3 linked regions of the Astyanax mexicanus genome follow. The protein of the gene in region 2 purifies or fractionates together with the protein of the main gene of each other region. This does not show direct contact. Links are inferred from orthologs where the notes say so. Each region holds a gene or a part of one and is shown on either strand. Other genes may lie near its edges.

Region 1 (7,241 bases), on a different chromosome or scaffold from region 2:
AAATTTCACCTTCAAAATCTTACCATGCACACAGTGTGATTTTACTCTATATAAAATTATTTTAGTGTATATGAGTATACTATATTTAATCTGAATATACTGTACATGCGTGCGCTCTATAATGTGAGTATAGTATACATTTGGTGAGTATACTGTACATAGGATGAGTATAGTGTATATAGTGTTGTGTATATGTGAAAATACTGTGTGTAGAATTAATATATTGTATACACGGCACGTATACTGTAGAGTGTGAGTATACTGTATATAGTTTGAGTATAGTGTATATAGTGTGAGTCTACTGTATAAAGCATGAGTACTGGATATAGTCTTAGTATAGTGTATAAAGCATGAGTATAACACATATACATGTGTGTATCTGGAGTAAATAAAGTACGTACCACCACAATGATAATAAACAGTTTTTGACAGTGGTTTTGTCAGTTTGTGACTGTTTTTATTCATGTTTTTTTCTTCACATTTTTTTTAACTTTTGAGAGCTTGAACATTTACAGTATAGCACACATTTCCCATAGTTATCCAACAGCTAACATAGTTTATAAATTTAACAACATACAAACACACAAAGTCTAATCTATTTAACAATAAGAAATAATCTCTGTAAGATATTAACCATTACCACAAATTACAGCAAGCAAGTCTGGAGCATGAAGAGCTTATAATTATAATCATATTTCATAATTTCTAAACTTTTGCAACAGGCTTGAGGGAGCATCACTTGCCCAGCGAAATCTGTGACACCAATAATCCTCACCTGAAAGAAAAAAAAACAGAATTAGATGGACAGATAGACCAATTTATTAAATCTTTTTTTTTACCCAATTTTCTCCAGTTTTCATGCCTGTGCTGACCAGTGATGAGGGGATTAAGCGCCACCTACCCACCCAGAGAGAGGATGGCCAATTGTATTCTCTTAGACTCCAGCTGCTGATGGACAAGCAGCATGACCCAGGATTCAAACTCACGTTTCTCCGATCATAGTGATATCGCCTTACTTTTTCGATGTTTTATTTTATTACTATTATATTAGTTTTTCGCGCAGACTTTCATAATAAAAATATATCCAGAAAGTTATTTACTGAAACAAAATAAATCTCACCAGATGTTTCCTCCTTTATGGAATCTGGACCCTCAGACTGGATGGCTCTGGTTTCGGTGCTGACTTCAGATATATCTTGTGGTGCAGCAAGCATGGGTTCCTTTTTGGTTCTTACAGCCCAGTGCACTGACTGGAGACAATTAGAGACAATAAATGATTGACAGTTATTAGCACATTCATTCAGTACATATGAAGTCAGAAGAGAGAGTGTGTTTGTGTGTCTGTTGTGTGTAATACTCTGTATATTATGTTCTGTTGTACATCATATAACATAGAATATATATTGGAGTAATTGAATATAGTTTTGTACACACACATAAATAAATGTGATTATTTGATCAGCAATATCCAGTCGATAATGTCACTCACGGTTTTTACGGAGTCCCTCAGTGCCTGCCACTCTTTAAACGGCACAGTGATCCGACTCCTCATCCAGAAATCATAACTCTTCCTTTTCGACTCGTCAGTCAGAACATCTTTAGCCTCCTGTAGTTTTTTAAACTCCTCCACTGCAAAACACACACAGTATCAGCAAGAAAATCAAATCATCTGATCAGTATGTATGAATTTATTCAGTATTATGTGCTGCATCATCCACAAGCTGGTATAGTTAATCAATGATTCAGTAAGTCAAATGCGATTGCCGCCATTTAACTCTAAAATTAAGTGTAATATGTATATTGTAATATACATGTATAGGTTCAGATTTCATACCTAAAAATGTATATGTAAAGCCATAATAAATTATAATCAGCTCACCTGCTGCGGGATTGTTGGGGTTCTTGTCAGGATGGCAGTTCAGTGCTCTCACTTTAAACTCTCTGAGAATTTGTTCAGTCTAAAAAATAAACATAAAAGTTTAGTCTGTGTTTAGTCAGTATTTGGTCAGTGTTTCGTCTGTGTTTGGTCAGTATTTGGTCAGTTATTGGTCTGTGTTTGGTCAGTGTATTGTCAGTGTTTAGTCTGTGGTCAGTGTTTAATCTGTGTTTAGTCAGTATTTGGTCAGTGTTTAGTCTGTGTTTAGTCAGTATTTGGTCAGTGTTTAGTCTGTGTTTAGTCAGTATTTGGTCAGTGTTTAGTCAGGGTTTGGTCAGTGTATGGTCAGTGTTTAGTCTGTGTTTAGTCAGTATTTGGTCAGTGTTTAGTCTGTATTTGGTCAGTGTTTAGTCAGTGTTTGGTCAGTGTATGGTCAGTGTTTAGTCAGTGTTTGATCAGTATTTGGTCAGTGTATGGTCAGTGTTTAGTCTGTGTTTGATCAGTTTTCGGTCAGTCTATGGTCAGTGTTTAGTCTGTGTTTGGTCAGTATTTGGTCTGTGTTTAGTCAGTGTATGGTCAGTTTTTAGTCTGTGTTTGGTCAGTATTTGGTCTGTGGTCTGTGTTTGGTCAGTATTTGGTCTGTGGTCAGTGTTGGGTCAGTGTTTAGTCAGTATTTGGTCAGTGTGTGGCTCTCCCAGCCGTTAACCTCCATCCCCCGCCTGGCTGGAGGCTGATACCGGGTAGAAGAGCCGGTACAGCGGGTAACTCTTACCGTAGAGAGCTCGTCGCAGCCGAGCAGCCCATAATAATCCTCCAGATCCTCCGGGTTGCAGTTCAGTATCGCCTCCATAAGAGCAGCCTTTTCCCCCGCAGCTCTCTGAACTCCGCCGTCGCGGACTCTACCGTAAATACCCTAAACCCCGCGCCCACCGGACCCGGAGTGACCGAGACAAAACTAAATGTTTTTGATTTTCATTCGTTAAAACAGCAGCACAAACATTCACAAGCTACCGGATACATCTAATCAACACTGCCAATGTAAAGTCAATGTGAAGTCAATAATAAATATTAAATAAGTTATGCATTTCTATTTGTCAAATTAATATGAAATTCTTATATAAAGAACAAGCGATTCTATTTATTAATATACTGATCACATTTTATAAAGCATATAAAATATATACATATAAACTAAATAATATAATATTATTATTATGCAATTATATTATTATTGTTATTATTATTATTATTATTATTATTATTATTTTAGTATATTAGGTTATATACTATAAATGTTAAAACACTATACAAAATACATCCCACGTATATCTTACAGCCAGCTACTATTCTCAGGACATTTATGGAATTGTTATCAAAAAAGAAACCCACAGTAACATATGTCACAGACCATTTAAAAGCTGTGTAAAGTTTCTTACTGACTGTACTGAACATCCTGAGAGCATCATCACTACAAGACAGTGTGTGAATCTGTGTTCCTTCATGTGAGTTCATTTATACAGAATAGTACAGTAGGAGTGCTGTAGGATTAGGGCTGGAGATAAAACTAAACAAGCTCAGTTTTAAAGTGTATTGTTTGAAGTAACATGATTTCTAAAACAAATGCATAACAAATGTATAAATGTTCATAATAGTTAGGAAATACTTTTTGTGTCATTTATGTTGCATTATGGTTTTAAACTTAAAATATTTAAGTCCACAATATTTATTGTGTGTCCACGGTAGGAAACAAACATGAATGGGCTGCTCACTGAATTTTTCTGATTTAATTTTGAGTTTGGTATCAATACCCAGAAATGCGTGGGTTCCTAATTATTGATGTAAATTTAACACCAATGTATTATATATTTATATTTATTTACTTTATTATTTCTTGCTTTATTGTATTTTTTATACTTTTCTCTTTATGTGGGATCATTTTCGAGAAGCAAAGAAAGAAGTTTATTGTACTTTATTGTGTTTAAGGGTGCAGATGACAATAAACTTAAAAAAAAATTGAATCTTTAAATCTATGTTAGGACATTTCTGAAATTATCAATGACTATTAATAAATTAAATTTGACTTATTCGAAATAATTAATTAAATTATCGACTATTATAGTGGGATTTGTGTAAATAATATTTGCCAGAAAAATACTATTAAATAAAATGTACAGAACACACAGTTGAAACTTGTCTGCATCAGCTGAATAATCTGTTTTATTGATTTATATCTGTATGAATCTGCTGGTTTGTGGGGTTTATTATGGGCTCTCCTGTCTTTGTTAGGGCTCCGTTGACTGACGTCATTCACGTTGTTGTAGTGGCGGAGCGGGAGTCACGTGCGCGGGTTAAATATCCCCCAGCTGTGTGTGTGTGTGTGTGTGGTGAGAGGCTCGCGAGCTCGTACGGCGCCCGTGTCCATTACATCACATCACATCAGGAACGGCGCGAGCACAGGAAGATGGCGGACGGGGAGGCTTCGTTAAAAGGAGCCGGTTCTCGTACCGGGTCCGGTTCTGGTGACTCGGAAGAGCCTGTGCTGAAGAAAGCGCGGATTAGTGTATCTAAAAGCCGCGATCCGGATCCGACCCGCGGCGAGCAGAGCGCGGGAGAGCCGGAGCTCGCTGAGGGTCGGGCGGCCGAGGATTTAACCCAGCCCGCGGATCAGGAGCCGGGGAAGGCGGGGGTTGAGGCCGCGGCGCCGGGGGAACCCGCTGACGGACTGCTGATGTCTGAGAACAGTAAACACGGTTCTAACAGCGAGCAGACTCCCGAACCCGCGGCGGAACACGAGCTCTCAGGTAACCGGATCACACCGAGGGGGTTTGGGACGATTGGCGGCTGCTCCGAGGCTAATGTTAGCGCGAGATTTGGCTACAAAATCTCGCGATGGTTCGGTGACTGAATTAGCCAGTCAGCTAACTAACTAGCTTTTCCCGTTACCCAACAGCAGCGGGAATTTAAATATAACGTTATATTAATATCCTTATTAACTAACGCTAAATCAGGATTTTATCACTTTTATTGATCTATCTGAAGAAACTAATTAAGCTAGATAGCTACCGTAGTCAGCAATAACAGAATTAACTAGTAAATTAACAAGTGAAATTGACTGTATTAGATGTAAAGTTAGCTAGGTTAACAAACTTTTTTATTATTATTTTTAATTCTTGTATATAATGCAATCCAGCATAATGAATAAACAAGATAGTATGTCAAATTCTCAGCAAATACAACCAACATCACACATATAACAAAACAAAACAAAATCACACACAAACAGAAAATAAATTTCAAATAAGACTAAAAAGCTTCAAAATATCTAGGAATTTATATGTTCTAATCCATATTATGTCAAAAATACTCAACTATGTAAAGAGAAAAAAAATGGAAGTATCCTTAAGTGCAATCATGCAAAGACCATCAAAACAACATGATGATGAAACTGGCACTCATCAGGACTGCCCCAGGAAAGGAAGAGCATAGGATCTTTTGGCTAACGCTAAATTAGGATTTTATCAGTTTTATTGATCGATCTGAAGAAACTAATTAAGCTAGAATACTACCATAGTCAGCAATAACAGAATTACTTAGTTAACGTTAATTAATCAGTAAAACTGACTGTCTTAGCTGTAAAGTTAGCTGTATAGTAAGTTAGGTTGGATAACCTAACTTACTATTATTTTTTTTATATAAAATACAATCTAACATACTGAAATAGACACAATATTAGGTCAAATTCACAGCATATACAACCAACACACATATAACAAAACAAATGAACAACAATATAACAAAACAATACGACTTTTATAACAAAACAATACGATTTTTTTTTTTTTTTTTTTTTTTTAGATCTGCAGATCTAAATTTTTGTACTAATAAATATGTTATAGCTAATATCTGAAATGAGTTTCTACCAGTAAAACAGAGTTAGCACATGTGTCATTGTTGTGCTTTAGGTTAAAAATCTTTGCCGTAAGTACATAAAGTGCTTGATATTAATGGTTCTGGTTCTTTTACAGGGGTAATCGACGGCAGTGTCCGCCCAAATGGGTTTTACTCTCCTAATATTAATGATGAAGATGATGATGACTGCTCTTCTCATGCCAGCTCCAGTGACTGGACTCCTCAGCCTCAGATTGGTATGTTCGAACTAGTGGCAAACAAGCTTTCATTTCAGTACAATTTCAGATATCTGTAAATATTCACATTAGTGCATCGCTTTTTTAAATGTTAACCTGTATGCATTGTTGTGTGATTGGACAGGTTCCTACCGTTTCATTCAGCAGCACATCATGAGAGAGACCGACCCGAGGACGATTTTGAAAGACTTACTTCCAGAAACTGTTCTTCCACCTGATCTAGACGACATGACACTGTGGCAGATTATCATTAATATTTCTGAGCCTCCTAAAAGAAAGAAACGCAAAGATATTAACACCTTGGAGGATGTCGTCAGACTGCTTAATGATGGCAAAAAGATACTTGTCCTAACTGGAGCAGGGGTGAGTTATTTAATTAGGTTTAACATCTTGATATAATCAGGTATAAATAAAAAAAAAAGTCCCTTGGTTTATTAGAAGTATTCACACTGTTCTGTAAGCTTGTTGTCCTGTTTTGTACTTAGAAGTAAGGGTAGGACTCACAGGGCCTCTCACAATACGATATTATCACAATATGCTGACCATGACAATGATGCAACCACGATATTGTGATTCTGCTACATTAGAAACTTAACAAGTCAAAAACTCATTAAAAAAAAGACAAAAATCAGGTATTACACGTTTATTGGTGTCAGTTTCACATAGTTTGACAACCAATATTCTTATTCACAGCAGCTTTACCATATTTAGCAGGTTTACCCTATTAATTTGATTAGCACCACCACAGTGATATGATGTAATGATATCAATATTTTGTCTCCCCCAACAGTTTGTATTATCCAGTCATTATTGTGCAATTTTTCACATTTGACAACAGATTTCTGGATTTTTCAAGGCCTTTTTCTAACAATTTATATGGAAATCACATTATTCCACTGATTCATTCATTAGTGCTTCAGTAAATAGTTTTGAATCTTAAGTGTCATGTCTTTTACAGAAGATTGATTTTATATAGTTAAAATCTGGTAATTAATGTGACAATATAGTAATTTGATTTTTTTATTCATTATTGTTTGGACACATTTCAGCTGTAACAGTGATTCTGTTTTTATTTCACTCTCTGCAGGTATCTGTTTCTTGTGGAATACCCGACTTCAGATCCAGAGATGGAATTTATGCTCGACTTGCTGTTGATTTTCCAGACCTTCCAGATCCTCAAGCAATGTTTGATATTGACTACTTCAGAAGGGATCCTAGGC
Region 2 (7,075 bases):
GTGAGGGGACAGTAATAAAAGTATAGTGTGGTTTGTGGTATGCCAGACTAAAAAACACCTGTCTCTACGGCAATGTTTAGAAAGTAGTTTGCAAATTTGGACTGCATATCAAAATAAATCAACCCCAATGTCTCTCACTCTCACACACACACACACACACACTCTCTCTCTCTCTCTCTCTCTCTCACACACACACACACACACACTGCCACAGCTGCTGCTCTAAGATATTAATATAAAAGCATCAAAACTACCCGAGATATTTTAACAAATAAAAAATAAGGCTCTATTCCGATAGGCCTACACCACACCACACTACACTATTAATTTTGTCTCCTCCCAACAATAAAGGATTTTATGATTAATCACAGACTTTTTTGTGATTTATATACATTTTTTATTTAATTTTAATATTAAATGCTTCAGACTTAATCACAAAAACATTGCTTTGATTAATCAGATTTTTTTTCGTAGATTGACACCAGTAAATTTGATGCATTATCAGGTATCTTTAATTTGCCTTTAGATATTGTGACATAATACTTTTATTTTATTACCCAGCTCTATTTTATCCTATTGTATTGTATTGTATATCAACATATGAGTCTTTAGTTAAATCACCCAGCTCTATTTCATCATATTGTATCGTATCGTATATCAACATATGAGTTTTTAGCTAAATCACCCAGCTCTATTTCATCATATTGTATATCGATATTTGAGTTTTTAGTCATATTACCCTGCTCTGTCTGGTATCAAGAAAGCTATTGTTATGCCCCAACCCGAGGGAACTTCCTCTGCCTAATTTAAAAGACAGCTTACCTGGAAAAACCAAATAGGCAGAGTGAAGCAAAACATGCACCGACACAGCAAAGAACAGACTCGCTAGGACATGACCAGATTTGAAAAGTGGTGCGGCCTACAACCATTAGCTCAGATTGTTGACAGGGCAGTGTTGCTTTGCCAGTTGCAAGGGCATGTGGGAGTGTTGTGGAGCAACAGTGTGGGGGTGATATGAGGTAAGAGGAGGATGAGAGCCAATGGGAAGGGAACAGCATCATGGGAAGGCCTTGTTTCTCTTTCTGACCTCTGGACGCCAGACCTCAGGAGGAGTTCTTGGCTCAGGAGGAGCGTCCGGGCCTCGGAGGAGTGAGGGTGAGTAAGCTTCTGAGGACGGTCTGGTCTGGTTGCTGTCAGACGTCCAGAATTCCTGGGTGGGAACATGCACCAGGGCCCTGGGAGACCATACCGCTGGAAGCACAGCCAACAGCTGTCAGCAGGAAGTGACATCAGGCCTGATAAACCACAGAAGAACAGCTGCAAACTCATGTAGCTGTAAGCTGGCAGTCTAGATCTTTTACATCTCTTTTTACTCTCCCATAACCTCCTGCCCCACCCAACTGCACACATGTGTCTGCAGCAGGCCCTGCTAAAACTCCTCTCAAACAGTGCCATCTCGTGGTCAGCATGATGGACAGATGTTGGGAGACAGAAGAGATAGAAGACTGGGGAGTTCGGCAAAATGAGTCTACAGTTCCCTCTGCTGGACTGGCTGAATAGTGTATAATACAATTGCTGGCAGATCTTTAAACCAGCATGGTTGCAACAATACAAGCAAACTAATCAATTGCCAAGGGCCAAAGCTGGCCTGGAGTCCCCAGACAATGACGGCTTATGAATTAAATGCAACGACAAACTATTTAAACCCTTTAAAGTATGTGATGATCAATGCCGGAAAGTACAATGACACTGTTATTAGAAATCCCCTCCCACTTGTGGCTGACAGTAGCCTATCAGCCAGGTTAGTCATTCCTGCAGCCGGCAACCTCAGCAGTCATAAATCCAGAAAAGAAAGTATCTCTAAAGCAAGACTTTTACTTCAACTTTTACTTTAAATTTTACCTCAGGTGTCTCTAGTCTAAAGTTTGGAAATTGGATTTAAATCCAATTGTTTTTATTATTTTAAAATGTTCCGCATTATAGATTAACACTAAAATCCTCAAAACTATGAAGAAAAACATAAAAATTAGTTCACAGCTAACAGCTGTCCCTTGTCAAGTGTTAATAACTAACTGTTAATATTTTCTTGCTCTATTAATGTGTTCGAGAGCATCAGTTGTAAAGTTGTGAGCAATCTTCTAATCCATTTTACGTCAAGAACTACTCAACTAAGTAAAGAAATATAGTACTTTAAGAAATGAAGGTCAGTTAATCAAAAAAAGGAAAGAAACTGGCACTCATCTGGACCACACCAGTAAAAGAAAGAGCACGAATTGCCTCTGTTTTACAGGATTAGCTTTCCTAAATGCTTCTTCACAGAGGATTTTGGTTTGTTTAACACTTATTTTAAGTTATTACATGATTCCTTATGTGTTCCTTCATAGTTTGAATGACTTTTGAGTTTGAAGTACTAATTTGTAATTTGTAATATATATATATATATATATATTCAGTTCAGATATCAGGCAGATATGCCTTCCTGCCTTTAAACCATACAGACAGCATTTCCACACTTCAGACACACACACACACACAGAGATCTACAGTCCAGCTGCAGGATGCAGTATTCAGCAGGGAGAATCTCCCGCCTTTGTTGAGATTCAAGTCATGTAGGACCAGAGCTGGTTTATGAAGAGACTACACACTTTCTGTTTCTCTTTTAAATCAGAAAATTACTTTACACCGCTAGAGGGAGCCCGCGAGGGAGTCTTCAATGAATGGGATAAATGGAGCTAAACGGCTTCTAAACACAAATTAACAATAGTAACTTCTAGTCCAGGATATTATTTTAATTTTAGAAAGCATAATTAAGTATTGTACTAAAACAATAAAGAAAACCTACATATACCTTTCCATTTTTCTATAATAGACTATTTTTGGACAACAAATTCGCTAGCATTACTGCTACTCTGTGCTGATTGGTTGGTGGAGAGCCGATGCTGAAGACACAGCCAGAGCTGTTTTATGGAGGTTCATAACTATACTTTTTCTAAGTACTTAGTACTTAAATGCTGTATCTGTATCTACTGAAGTATTTTTATTTTTTTCACCTACCTCCACTTTTACTTCACTACTATGATTTTAATATTATTTTTATATTAATTTTATATTATTTTTTTATCTGCTGCATCGTTGCTCGTTACAAATATAAAAATGTTAGGAATCATTTCAAACGTACATTGCAATTTGGGTGCCCAATTAATCCTACAATCTTACAATATAGAAATGTAACAGTGTAGAAATGGCTCTTCAAGAATTTAATGTCACTTTAAAATCGTTTGGTTTTCTGTTTTCATAGGACTCTTTAGTGGTCATTTTGTGTGTGTGTTTTTAAACACAAAAAAATAAAACCTCTTTAATTGTAAACCTTTGGAATTTAATCAAGCGGAAGATGAATGATCACAAGCCATCAAACCAAGCTGAATTGCTTGGCGTTTTGCACCAGGAGTGGCATAAAGTTATCCAAAAGCAGTGTGTAAGACTGGTGGAGGAGAACATGTCAAGATGCATTAAAACTGTGATTAAAAAACAGGGTTGTTATTTCGGCCATTTCTCATTTTCTGTAATTAAATGCTATAAATGACAATATTTTATAATAATATAAACTAAATAAAATAAAATAATATGTTAATTTTAGTCAAACATATACCTATAAATAGCAATATCAGAGAAACTGATAATATTTCTCAGAGCTAAATATATATAGGTATATAAAGGTATCTCAACCTGTGCACGTTTTCCATTGGGCAGTCTCTCATCTGTAGAGTTTCTCCAGTAGGACCACCTACCTTACATGAAAAACGGACGAAACCATATCGTCATGATTGATTAAGGGGTGTTTAGATTATGGATGGTTTAAGGACGGGATATCAGCGGGGGTCGTTTATCATTTTATTGTACATAAATGTAAATGTTTTATTAGTGTATTATGTGAGTTTGGTGCGTTTTATTCGCCTTTTAGTTAAGTTTAAATGTAATGGACGTATTCTCTCTATCTGCAGGCACCCTATTTTTCCTGTGGATGGTTAAGTCCGAGTCTTTCCGCGGGAAAGCGGCCCGCGCACATTCGCATCTGCTGGGAAACCTTAAAAAGCCCCAGTGTCCCCTTGCGGCGATCCGCTGCTGCTGCTCTTCCTGCTGCTGCTTGTTTTAAACATTGGCGCTTTTAATTGTTCACTGTGTTTTTGTTGTTTTTAACGTATTCGCTGTTTTATCCGCTTTTATTCTCACTTGAAATGCCTGCGAAGACCTCGCTGTCTCTGCCGGAGGATGTGAAGGAACGGTACGGTAAACCCTAACCTCACCTGGGCTTTAGTTAGTTAGTTAGTTAGCTAGCGTTACCTAACCTTGCTAACTACCTTTAATTTGCTGTACATCTATATTAAAACGTTAAAACACGCACACAGCTAACCTAGCTAGCAGCTCAACCCCCCAACAACAGACTGGAGCCTGCAGTGTAGCACAGCAGCCACAGCAGGCTCTAGTCTGTTGTTCGGGGTTTGAGCTGCTAGCTAGGTTAGCTGTGTGTGTGTGTTTTTTTAATAAAGATTAAAAGCTTAAATATCGTTAGAAACGTGGCTCTAACTACTGTTAATGAGGCGGGTTAGGTTAGCTAGCGCTGTGGCTCTCCGCCAAAGCACTGCAGCCAATTCTGTGACTGATAACTAGAGTTAGCATGCTAGGCTAAGCTAACCCGTCAGGCAGTTGTTTTGGTCTCCCCTCCGCGCGCCCGCTCGCGCTAGCTCGCTGTCACCGGGCAGCCTGAATTTGGCGCCAAATGATGGCTGCTGCTGCTGTTCCTGGCCTGACCGTGTCAAACCATATCTTATAACTAAAGTGTGTGAAAAGTATGATATGTCAGACATAAATTTATATTTTGACTGCAATTCGTTTGAATAGGGTGTTTCAGAGCTGGGAAGCTCCCAAAACATGATGCTTGTGTTCTACCTGTATTACGTTGCCCAAAGGCAGCAAGTGAAAACATTCATTTACTAAGGTTACCATGAGAATATGTAAGAATATGAATAATAAGATATAATTATTTTACATATTTCTTATACACATACAAAAAAACTATTCCTTGAGAAAAAAAAAACATGTTTAATCTCCCTCTCTGTATATACATCTCTGAAAAGTAGAAACTGTATTAGGGTTGTGTCACATGACACTAAAATAATAGCTAAATATTTAATGTTATTTTTACTCTAACAATACTCCCAGCAATATGACAAGACTCAATAAAAAATATATTTTAAGAATACTCTCCAACCAAATAATGATTTAATTTGTTGTTGCATACAATATGATGTGGCACTCTACCAACTGAAATTAAAAATACAATAATTTTATCAGATTTGTATCTGAAGTCAGTGATTCAGAATATCTTCATATATCCTGGACTGAAGTAAAGTGAATGATACTGGACAGATTATCTGTGTCTAGTAGATCTATCATGGGGAATTTAGAACAGTGTGAAACAAATCTCCTTTTTTCTATGTGCTCTGAAGAGCTAATTAGTTTATAATGTGGCATATACTTTGGGTAAAGAGATATTTGGTATAGATCTGTCCAAACTCTTTTTTTGGTACTGTACATTAGTAAACATGGGTTTGCCACTCTGTTATGGCATGTGTTGCTGTATTGTCAGTTAGCTAATACTGTTGTGTAGGGGTTTTAATTTTTCCCTGTATGTCTGAATAATCACCTGAAACTTTATTAAAATCAATTATGCATGGCCGAAGTAAAGTCTGTTTATTTATTTTGGCCAAAACATTCCCTCTGCTGTTTGATTAGCTTTAAATAATCCTTTATCCATCCCACAGTGGGAAAATTTACAATGTTCCATCAGGATAGAAGTATCAGAAAATGTAGAGACTATCTATCAATCAATTAATACAAAAAATTCAAAACAAATCGTGAGGGGAAAATTTAAGACTCGTTGTTCCCCAGTATGTGTATTTTGGTGAATGCAGTGACCAGTGATTCTGCATAAACAGATTATGCTACACATGGTGAATAGGGGTATTACACGTAGTAAGAAGTAATGGCTAAACAGGTTTTATTGCACACAGTATTAATAAATAACTAGTAATCTTCAGTTTATCAAGAGTAGTATGTTATATACTCTGACAGTGTCCTGGAGAAAGAATCTTTCTGTAACTGTCTTATTTATTTATTTTTCTTGGTTAGTTGTTTATTTTTAGTATAAACCCAGATCTTAAACTCTTAAGCTATGTGGTGGAATATTCATGTTTTGATTGTGTACAGCTGTTTAGGTAAATACAGGACAATTACTGGCTATTAGTTGAACACCCAGACTAGCCTGTTGCCTATCGTTCTCTAAAATACATAAGCTCCATGCATTTACTTATTGTTTCATTAAATTAAGCCCTCTTCTGATGTAATTTCTGATCTTCCTTTGTAGCTGTGGTCCAATCAGCAACACTGCAACTTCTGTTCCATTTGTACATTTTAGCAGTAGTGACACCTGAGTGACATGTACTGTAGTTAACATTTAAGGTTCTACAGTGCACGGTTTATTTCTTTTAGCCATGTTCAAATCATCCGTTACCTGCCTGATAACCAGTCTTACAGGGAAAACTGTTAGCAGTGATGACCGTTAATAAGGTTGATGAAGCAGACATTTTAGCAAGGGAAGCAAGAAACCAGGACCTTTCTTGGAACTATGTCCCAATTACAGATGCCTACTATACTCACTCCACAAAATAAACTGTATGAAATATCACCAATCATAAATAGAAAATGCAATATGGACTTCCTTAATAGACAAGAACAGTCAGTGATGACTAGGTGCCGAATTGGACATACTGCTCTTACCCACCGTCACCTCCTGGTTGGCGAACGGACTCCAGCCTGCCAGTTCTGTGATACTCCTCTAACAATTAAACATATCTAAGTAGACTGCCCTGCACTTTTGACCACCAGAAAGGACTTTTATAGGGTTACAAACGTGAGAGAACTGTTTGAAACTATTCCACCAGCTAAAATACTTAATTTTCTGGAAGTCCTTCATATGAAGACACTAATTTAAGACTGTGATGCTCAAGATATGAAC
Region 3 (7,078 bases), on a different chromosome or scaffold from region 2:
AGGATTAATGCTTGATTGTAGCTTCAGTGTGAACGTAGAGTGAAAAAATATATAAAAATGTGGGCAAGCATGTTAAATCCTTTTATTGTTTTTCTCTTTATATTCATAAAATGTAGTATGGTGGTAAACTTATATGTACTGTATATATGCTTTTAAAATGTACCTGCATTCTCCTCCCTCTAATAAATAATGACAGCAGGTCTCTGGTGACTGTATTATACACATGCAGTATTAATGCTTTATAAAATGTGCCTCAGGCTTGTCTGCAGGGAGTTTATTACCCAGTTGAGTCGTGTTAGAGCAGCTGAAGTCATACGTACGTACTGCATGTATTGTAATAGGGTGCTTTTCTGATGTTTTTAATGTGCAGGTGTGTGGCTGGAGGGTTCGGATGGGACCGATATCAACGCTCTGTGTCGCTCTCACAGCGAGCGAATAGTGGCAGTGGCAGATGACTTCTGCAAAGTCCACTTATTCCAGTATCCATGTCCTAAACCAAAGGTCAGTATAATGTTTACAGTATAATTTCTTTGGTATCACAAATGGAACTAAAAGTATTGGGCCCCTGTTTTTTGTGACTTAAAAATAGTTTCTCTTGCTTTCTACTAGATTTTGTAGCTTTTATGTAAGAATTTTCTTGCATTCAGTTATAAAGCGTTAGTGAGTTCAAGGAGGTGGATGATCATCACGTGCCCCCCCATGTTAATCTGCTCCAGAGCCTTAATCTATTGGTGACACTGCTCTACAGGAACTAGAGCACTGTAGAGCAGTATCTCCAATAGATAGGGCTAGAGGTGAAGTTAAGGATGGGGGGCATGTGTTGATCATCATTTGTCAGCAATGGAAGCAATGTACATGAATTCATTCTTTAAAAGGGGTGTCCACATGTGGACATGTGATTTTATCAAATAAGCTGGATTTACTTTCAGTTTACAACAGTTTACTGTGAGTTTGCATTAAATACTAAGTATACAATATTTCTTACTTATGAACACAAAAGTGATATTATTTTTAAAAATTCAGGTTTCCCATACATATACAGTATCATTCAAAAGTTTAAACACACCTTAGATTCATTCTCTAAATATTTTATGCATTATAAGTCCTACAAACTACAACTATAAGAAAAATATGTGGAATTATTGAGTAAACAAAAAGTGTTGAACAAACCAGAATATGTTTTATATTTTAGATTCTTTAGAGTAGGCACCTCTTGCTTAGATGACAGCTTTGCACATCTTGGCTGGATTTTCTCAGTCAGCTTTATGAGGTAGAGTCACCCAGAATGGCTTTAAGTTAATAGCTTTTCTGAACTAAAAAGTTCATTACTTATACTCTTAATGTGTTTGAGAACAGTTGTGTTGTGAGGAGGTAGAGTTGGTATACAATAAATAGCCATATTTGAGTAATGTTCTAGATACTTTACAGTCAATCTGAAAAATATTAAGAACTTTTAAAATAAGTATTCACTCAAGAAAAGGAAGACAAAAAGTTACCTCTGTTGCACAGATGAGTTGATCAGAGTTACCAGCCTCAGAAACTGCAAGGTACCAATACCTCAGATAAGAGTCACCTAAATGCTTCACAGAGTACAGTATTCCTTGTGTGTTCCTTCATAGTCTGGATATTTTCATGGAACATTTGACTGGTAGTGTAGTTTAGTCGTGTGGCTGTGTGAAATGTTTTCTTCTGAGACGATTCCTTCCCTTCTTTTTTTTAGGCACCAAGTCACAGGTATGAGGGCCATGGCAGTCATGTGACCAACGTACGCTTCACCCACTGCGACAGTCACCTTCTGTCACTGGGTGGGAAGGACACATGCATCCTCCAGTGGCGAGTCAAGAGGAGCGGGGCTGCAGAAAAGGAACACCCAACCTCTTCACTTCCTCCACCCACTTCCCTTAACAGTTCCTCAGAACCTGGGAAACAGAAGGAGAAAGAGATGGGATGAAGAGAGTGACAAAGAATATGTTGAAGAATATGGTATTGCACAATCTAGAGTAAATCCAGCATTAGGAAGACTGTGCTGAGAGGATGCAATGTTTATGGTGGTCTTTAACAGATTTTCATGGCCAAAAAGGAAGTCAGTGTTGCATCAACATTCACTATATCAGGTTTACATGTTACTATATTACTCCAATTTTATAGACAACAGGACAAATGATGTGTGTGTCTGTGTGTGTGTCAAACAGCTTATGTTTATGTAAAGTAAACTGATCTTATACTTTGACTTTATTAACATTACGTTACGTTTATGTTGATAATTCTGGAATGTGAAAGGCTTGTACGTGCCTTTATAGACAATCATCTCAAGATGGTCATTCCAAAGCAAGTCTTTCATTTATCACCCTTTACTCGTTGCAGTACATGTTTACATTACTGACCTGTTGCTGATTTGTAGATGTGAACTGTTTCTTCAGTTTGTTCTCTGTGCGCTGTCTGGCTATGATTTAATAAATGTGTTTGTGTGTCATCACACTATTAAACCAAAACCATCTGAGTCTGCTGTATGTATTATATATTAACTGAAATATGACTGAATGATTTTGAGAACACTGTCCTTCCTTTTCTTAGATTATCTATTCTGTAATAGACAGTAACTGTATAGAAAAATTGAAGTTGAGAACTACAAATCACAAAAAGGATCAGGAGGCGTTCGAGCGCTGCGTGAATCACACAGCGCCTTCTAGAGGACCAAGGTGAAATTGTAACAGTGCATTGTGGGCCTGCAACCAAAAGGGGGCGGTAGGAGCACAGAGATCAATTTAACCAAATTTACTGTTCACTGATTTAATAACTAAATATACAGTCTGGGAAAAAATAGAGACCATTGCTATTTATAGGTAAAATTAACATGTTGTATTATTCTATAAACTACGGACAACATTTCTTCTAAATTCCAAATGAAAATTTTGTTATTTAGAGCATTTATTTGTAGAAAATGATAAATGGCTAAAATAACAAAAAAAGATGCAGAGCTTTCAGATCTCAAATAATGCAAAGAAAACAAGTTCATATTCATAAAGATTTAAGAGTTCAGAAATCAGTATTTTGTGGAATAACCCTGTTTTTAATTACAGTTTTTATGCATCTTGGCATGTTCTCCTCCACCAGTCTTAAACACTGCTTTTGGATAACTTTATGCCACTATTGGTGAAAATTTCAAGCAGTTCAGTTTGGTTTGATGGTTTGTAATCATCCATCTTCCTCTTGATTACATTCCAGATGTTTTCAATTTGGTGAAATATATTTATATTTCTTGTATAATAAAATGGGTTTTAATGAGTTAAAATTTTTGCGGCCACAGTGACCAAAAAGAAGCTGGATATAGGCATGGATGGAAGTACAGTGGAAGTCAGTTTTTTCTTGTTGTTCATTTCAGATACAAAATATTATCTACTAAATTTAGGCTTAATTTTTTAATTAATTTTTAATTCGTCAAATTGAAATTGTGACACAATGTATAGATTCCAAATTCAATAATACATTGTAACCAGTTACAGGTATTGTAGTAAATGAGGCTTGCAGCAGTTTCAAGCCTGAAACTTCTCCATACATATTTTTTTTAGATTGCAAACTTAGCAACATATGTAAATGTGCAACATATAATACACAATTCTTCAAATATATAAAGAGAAAAAAAATAATAGTGGAAAAATAAAAACAGTAAAAGGAAAAAGAGGGGACAAGGGGGTCAAATTTATAGGATACGAATGAGATTTTTTTGTTTGCAAAAAGACTATAGAAATGTGTGAGAGCTCCAACAGATAGGGGATTATTAATGTCTAATAAAAAATATTTGTAACATATATTAAAATAAATAAAAAATAAAACAAAATTGGAAAAGGCGGGGACGTGATTCACATCTATAGTAAATCATGAAATATTTATTTTAATCTGCTTTTTTCTTCTTTAAACTGCTTTTTTTACATTTAAGTTCTTTGTAGAAGTGAAGTGATACCTCACTCGCTAGTTCTATCAGACAGCAGGCTCTCCGGTGAAGCTCGAGACCGGGCCGAGCTCTAGGTGACGTTTCGCGCTTCCGAAGATGACGTTTAAGAAAAGGGGGGAGGAGGGGTGAGCCGAGCGGAGGTGAAGAAGAGGAGGATGAAGCTGGGAGAGCAGAGGATGGGAGGAAGAGTAGAGTGAGAGAGTGAGAGAGAGAGACAGGCTGGCTAGCTAGCCGATGACTGTAGGTGCATGCCCGCGAGGCTGAGCGCGTGAGTGGCCGGTGAGGGGTAGCGGAGCGGCTGTGTCGGTACCGGACCGGAGCGGAGGCGCGTTTTACATCCGCGGATTCTCACCGAGACGGAAAGTTTGAACTTTTCTCCCGCCGCCGCCGCTCGGGCTCACCGTGCCGGCTCCCCGGCTTTGTTCCGCCAGCGCCGAGTCCGCCGATACATGCGGGACTAAAGCCGCCGCCGCTCGGCTTCAGCGCGCGCAGGAGGAGGGGAATCCCGGGGCTCGAGTTCGTGGAGGGGAGCGAGAGAATGGCGGCCAACATGTACCGAGTAGGAGGTGAGCGTTTTAATCAGCGGTTCCGCCGCCGAAACGGGGATTGTTGTGCGAGCGGGTTAGCCAGCCTGCTAACGCTAGCCGCTGCGGCTAACGGGCTGATTAATAGTCTGCTAGTCGACTCGTTAGCCTAAATGCTAACTAGCGTGCTAGCGCCTTTTCTCATTTGGTGGCGTGTTTTTTTTTATTTCCGCCTTCTTTACAAAGGCCGGCTTAGTTAGCGTTAGCTTAGCTTAGCTTTAGCTTTTCATTTATTTTTGAATGTGTTGTTTCTCAGAGTTTCTGGGAAAGCTTTTACAACTAACTTTTATACGAGTCTTCTTTCCAAAACTACAGTTTACTTAACTGTTACTTACTCTGAGAAACGCCCTTAATACTGCGAATAAAAATACGATTTTATATTGTATTACTTTTGCTAAATCCAGTGTCCATAAACAGATGTTTTAGCTTATAATTCCCCCCATGCTGCACTGTTGGAGCTATCTCGCATCCTAAATGCACAGATGCAGTTTATTATTGTTATTAAGAAGATAAAAATAAATATTTCTGATTTATCTTTCTAGCTGTAGATATGATCCCCTTTTTCCTTTTGTTTTTATTTATTTTTGTATTCCATATTTTCCTTTTGCATTAAGTTAGATTTGTGTGAAGAATAACGTTTTGCACTTTGTAACTATGATTGCATATATTGCTAAGAAGAAAAGTTATTTAACTAGCTAAGTTTAGTTAGCAGGCGAGCTAACCTATAACTAGCTATCTGTTTTAAACGGTTTACCAGAGCGTTACTCCAATATAAGAGTAAAGAGGGAAAGAGTTTTAAAGAAAAAGGTTAATAAAGTATCTTAAGTTATTTAGTTAACGTTACCTAGCGTTAGTTATTGTTAGTTAGCTTAGCTAACTAGGTTCGTTTAGTTAACCGGCGCCCTGTGGTTGTTTAGGTATTAAAGCCTAACTTATAACAGTTATTTTCGCTTGGATACAGAACAGGAACTAGATAAGTATTTACTCGTTTTTTGAGTGAGAGTTAAATTGTAAAACACCAGTTTGCAGTCCAAGTAGGCGAGTAAACTGTAACTCTGAATGCTGAAGAGCTAGAAAACTCAACACACCGTCACCGATAGTAACAGCCCGACCACAGTACTACAGTAATGCCTCACAGAGAGAAAGAGAAAGAGCGCAATCGGTCCAGGACCCCACAGCTTCTCTCCTGTCAGGCTTTATTCTTGAGCACTTTATGAACATTATGACGAGCTGCTGAACTCTCTGGGAGCAGGATTTAGGACAGAACAGCTGCTCTTTTATCTGAGCTGTACTCTGTCTGACAGCTACAGTCACATCCAGCACGCTGCTGGCTACAACTGGGCGATACTGTGATTATTTTACTGGACCGTAATACATTTTTTTATTTTCTTGACCATATGCTTTAATAGGCATATCAAAGATTTATATCTTTAGTGCCTAAAACACTGACCAAACTGTACATTTTTATGATTACAGAAAATGGTTAAAGTGTGGATGCACGATAATATCGGTATTGTATCATATCAGTTGATATATATTTTTTTTTCTTTAAGAATAGTCAGCATTAAATGTGATATAGCCAGTACTTTTAACAAGTACCATTCATTCATTTTAGTCCTGGATAGATGGAGGTATTTGAGTGCATTATTAGCATCATGACATTCTGGGTGATTGACTTCTGTTTTAAATCTGATAAAAATTCTTGCATTATTTAATATGGTGCACCCCTAACTTCATATAATAATATCATATTGAATCAAATAATACAATAAAAATATATATTTTTTGCAGTAGTGTGTTCTTGAAAAAAAAAATTTAATTCAGTGGTTTGTCATTTCGCCAAGAGTATCGTTATCGTGATAAATTTTAGGACGATATCGCCCACCCCTAATTGGTACTGCTGCAACCCTTATCACAACGCAACACAAACTGATCTAGGAGTAGTCAGCATTTTACAGGTTATCAGGTTTCATCAAGGTTCTTTCCACTGCTGGGTTTTAACACGGTTTGACTTATTGTGTTTAAATGTGTAGATGGAGCTCTAAGAGCGACTGTAAATAGGTCAGTCAGAGTGATGATGAAGATGCTGCAATTCTGTTAACCACCGTAGACTCAATCCTGCTTCTCTTGATTTGGACCTTTATCCACACAGCTCCTGTCTGATTCTGTGGAGCACTTCAGTGAGAGCATTGTTGCTCAAATTGATGGTTATTTTACTGGTGTAACAGTTAAAAAAATAGAAGAAGAATGTTTTTGAGGGGAAATTATCTGTATGGCTGATGCGCAGTTCTCATGAGGGTCTCCCCTTTGGCGTCTATAGTGTGCACCACTGTCAGTGATCAAAGAGCCGGCGGAGTGTAAAGTGGGAAGGAAGAGGGTTTGTAAAATCACCATTTTTCACACACACGCTGCTTTGCTTTAAATTGTGTATGTTTGTGATCTGTTGTGTGGACTATTTAGAGATCTGTTTGTTCAAGGCTTTTTAACACACTTCAATAATCATATTTTTGCCTAAAAACCTGAACATGTTAGTTTTTTTTAT

What was found.
Region 1: the proteins of dnmt1 (region 2) and sirt1 purify together in Homo sapiens (affinity purification with western blotting; 3 studies listed by BioGRID and IntAct, with this or other methods). This does not show direct contact. The link is inferred for Astyanax mexicanus from reciprocal best matches to the Homo sapiens genes DNMT1 and SIRT1.
Region 3: the proteins of dnmt1 (region 2) and mta2 purify together in Homo sapiens (affinity purification with western blotting; 3 studies listed by BioGRID and IntAct, with this or other methods). This does not show direct contact. The link is inferred for Astyanax mexicanus from reciprocal best matches to the Homo sapiens genes DNMT1 and MTA2.

The regions. Positions count from the first base shown.
Region 1 is NC_064414.1:2,518,673-2,525,913, forward strand, and holds the start of sirt1 (NAD-dependent protein deacetylase sirtuin-1), read left to right. Parts: upstream 1-4,240; 5' UTR 4,241-4,337; coding exon 4,338-4,677; intron 4,678-5,901; coding exon 5,902-6,021; intron 6,022-6,145; coding exon 6,146-6,384; intron 6,385-7,108; coding exon 7,109-7,241. Other genes in the region: dnajc12 (dnaJ homolog subfamily C member 12), read right to left, coding at 690-775, 1,121-1,250, 1,490-1,629, 1,880-1,958, 2,649-2,726. UniProt on the Homo sapiens protein: NAD-dependent protein deacetylase that links transcriptional regulation directly to intracellular energetics and participates in the coordination of several separated cellular functions such as cell cycle, response to DNA damage, metabolism, apoptosis and autophagy.
Region 2 is NC_064410.1:3,869,028-3,876,102, forward strand, and holds the start of dnmt1 (DNA (cytosine-5)-methyltransferase 1), read left to right. Parts: upstream 1-4,050; 5' UTR 4,051-4,235; coding exon 4,236-4,282; intron 4,283-7,075. UniProt on the Homo sapiens protein: Methylates CpG residues. Preferentially methylates hemimethylated DNA. Associates with DNA replication sites in S phase maintaining the methylation pattern in the newly synthesized strand, that is essential for epigenetic inheritance.
Region 3 is NC_064415.1:31,199,298-31,206,375, forward strand, and holds the start of mta2 (metastasis-associated protein MTA2), read left to right. Parts: upstream 1-4,077; 5' UTR 4,078-4,490; coding exon 4,491-4,518; intron 4,519-7,078. Other genes in the region: eml3 (echinoderm microtubule-associated protein-like 3), read left to right, coding at 371-501, 1,721-1,951. UniProt on the Homo sapiens protein: May function as a transcriptional coregulator. Acts as a component of the histone deacetylase NuRD complex which participates in the remodeling of chromatin.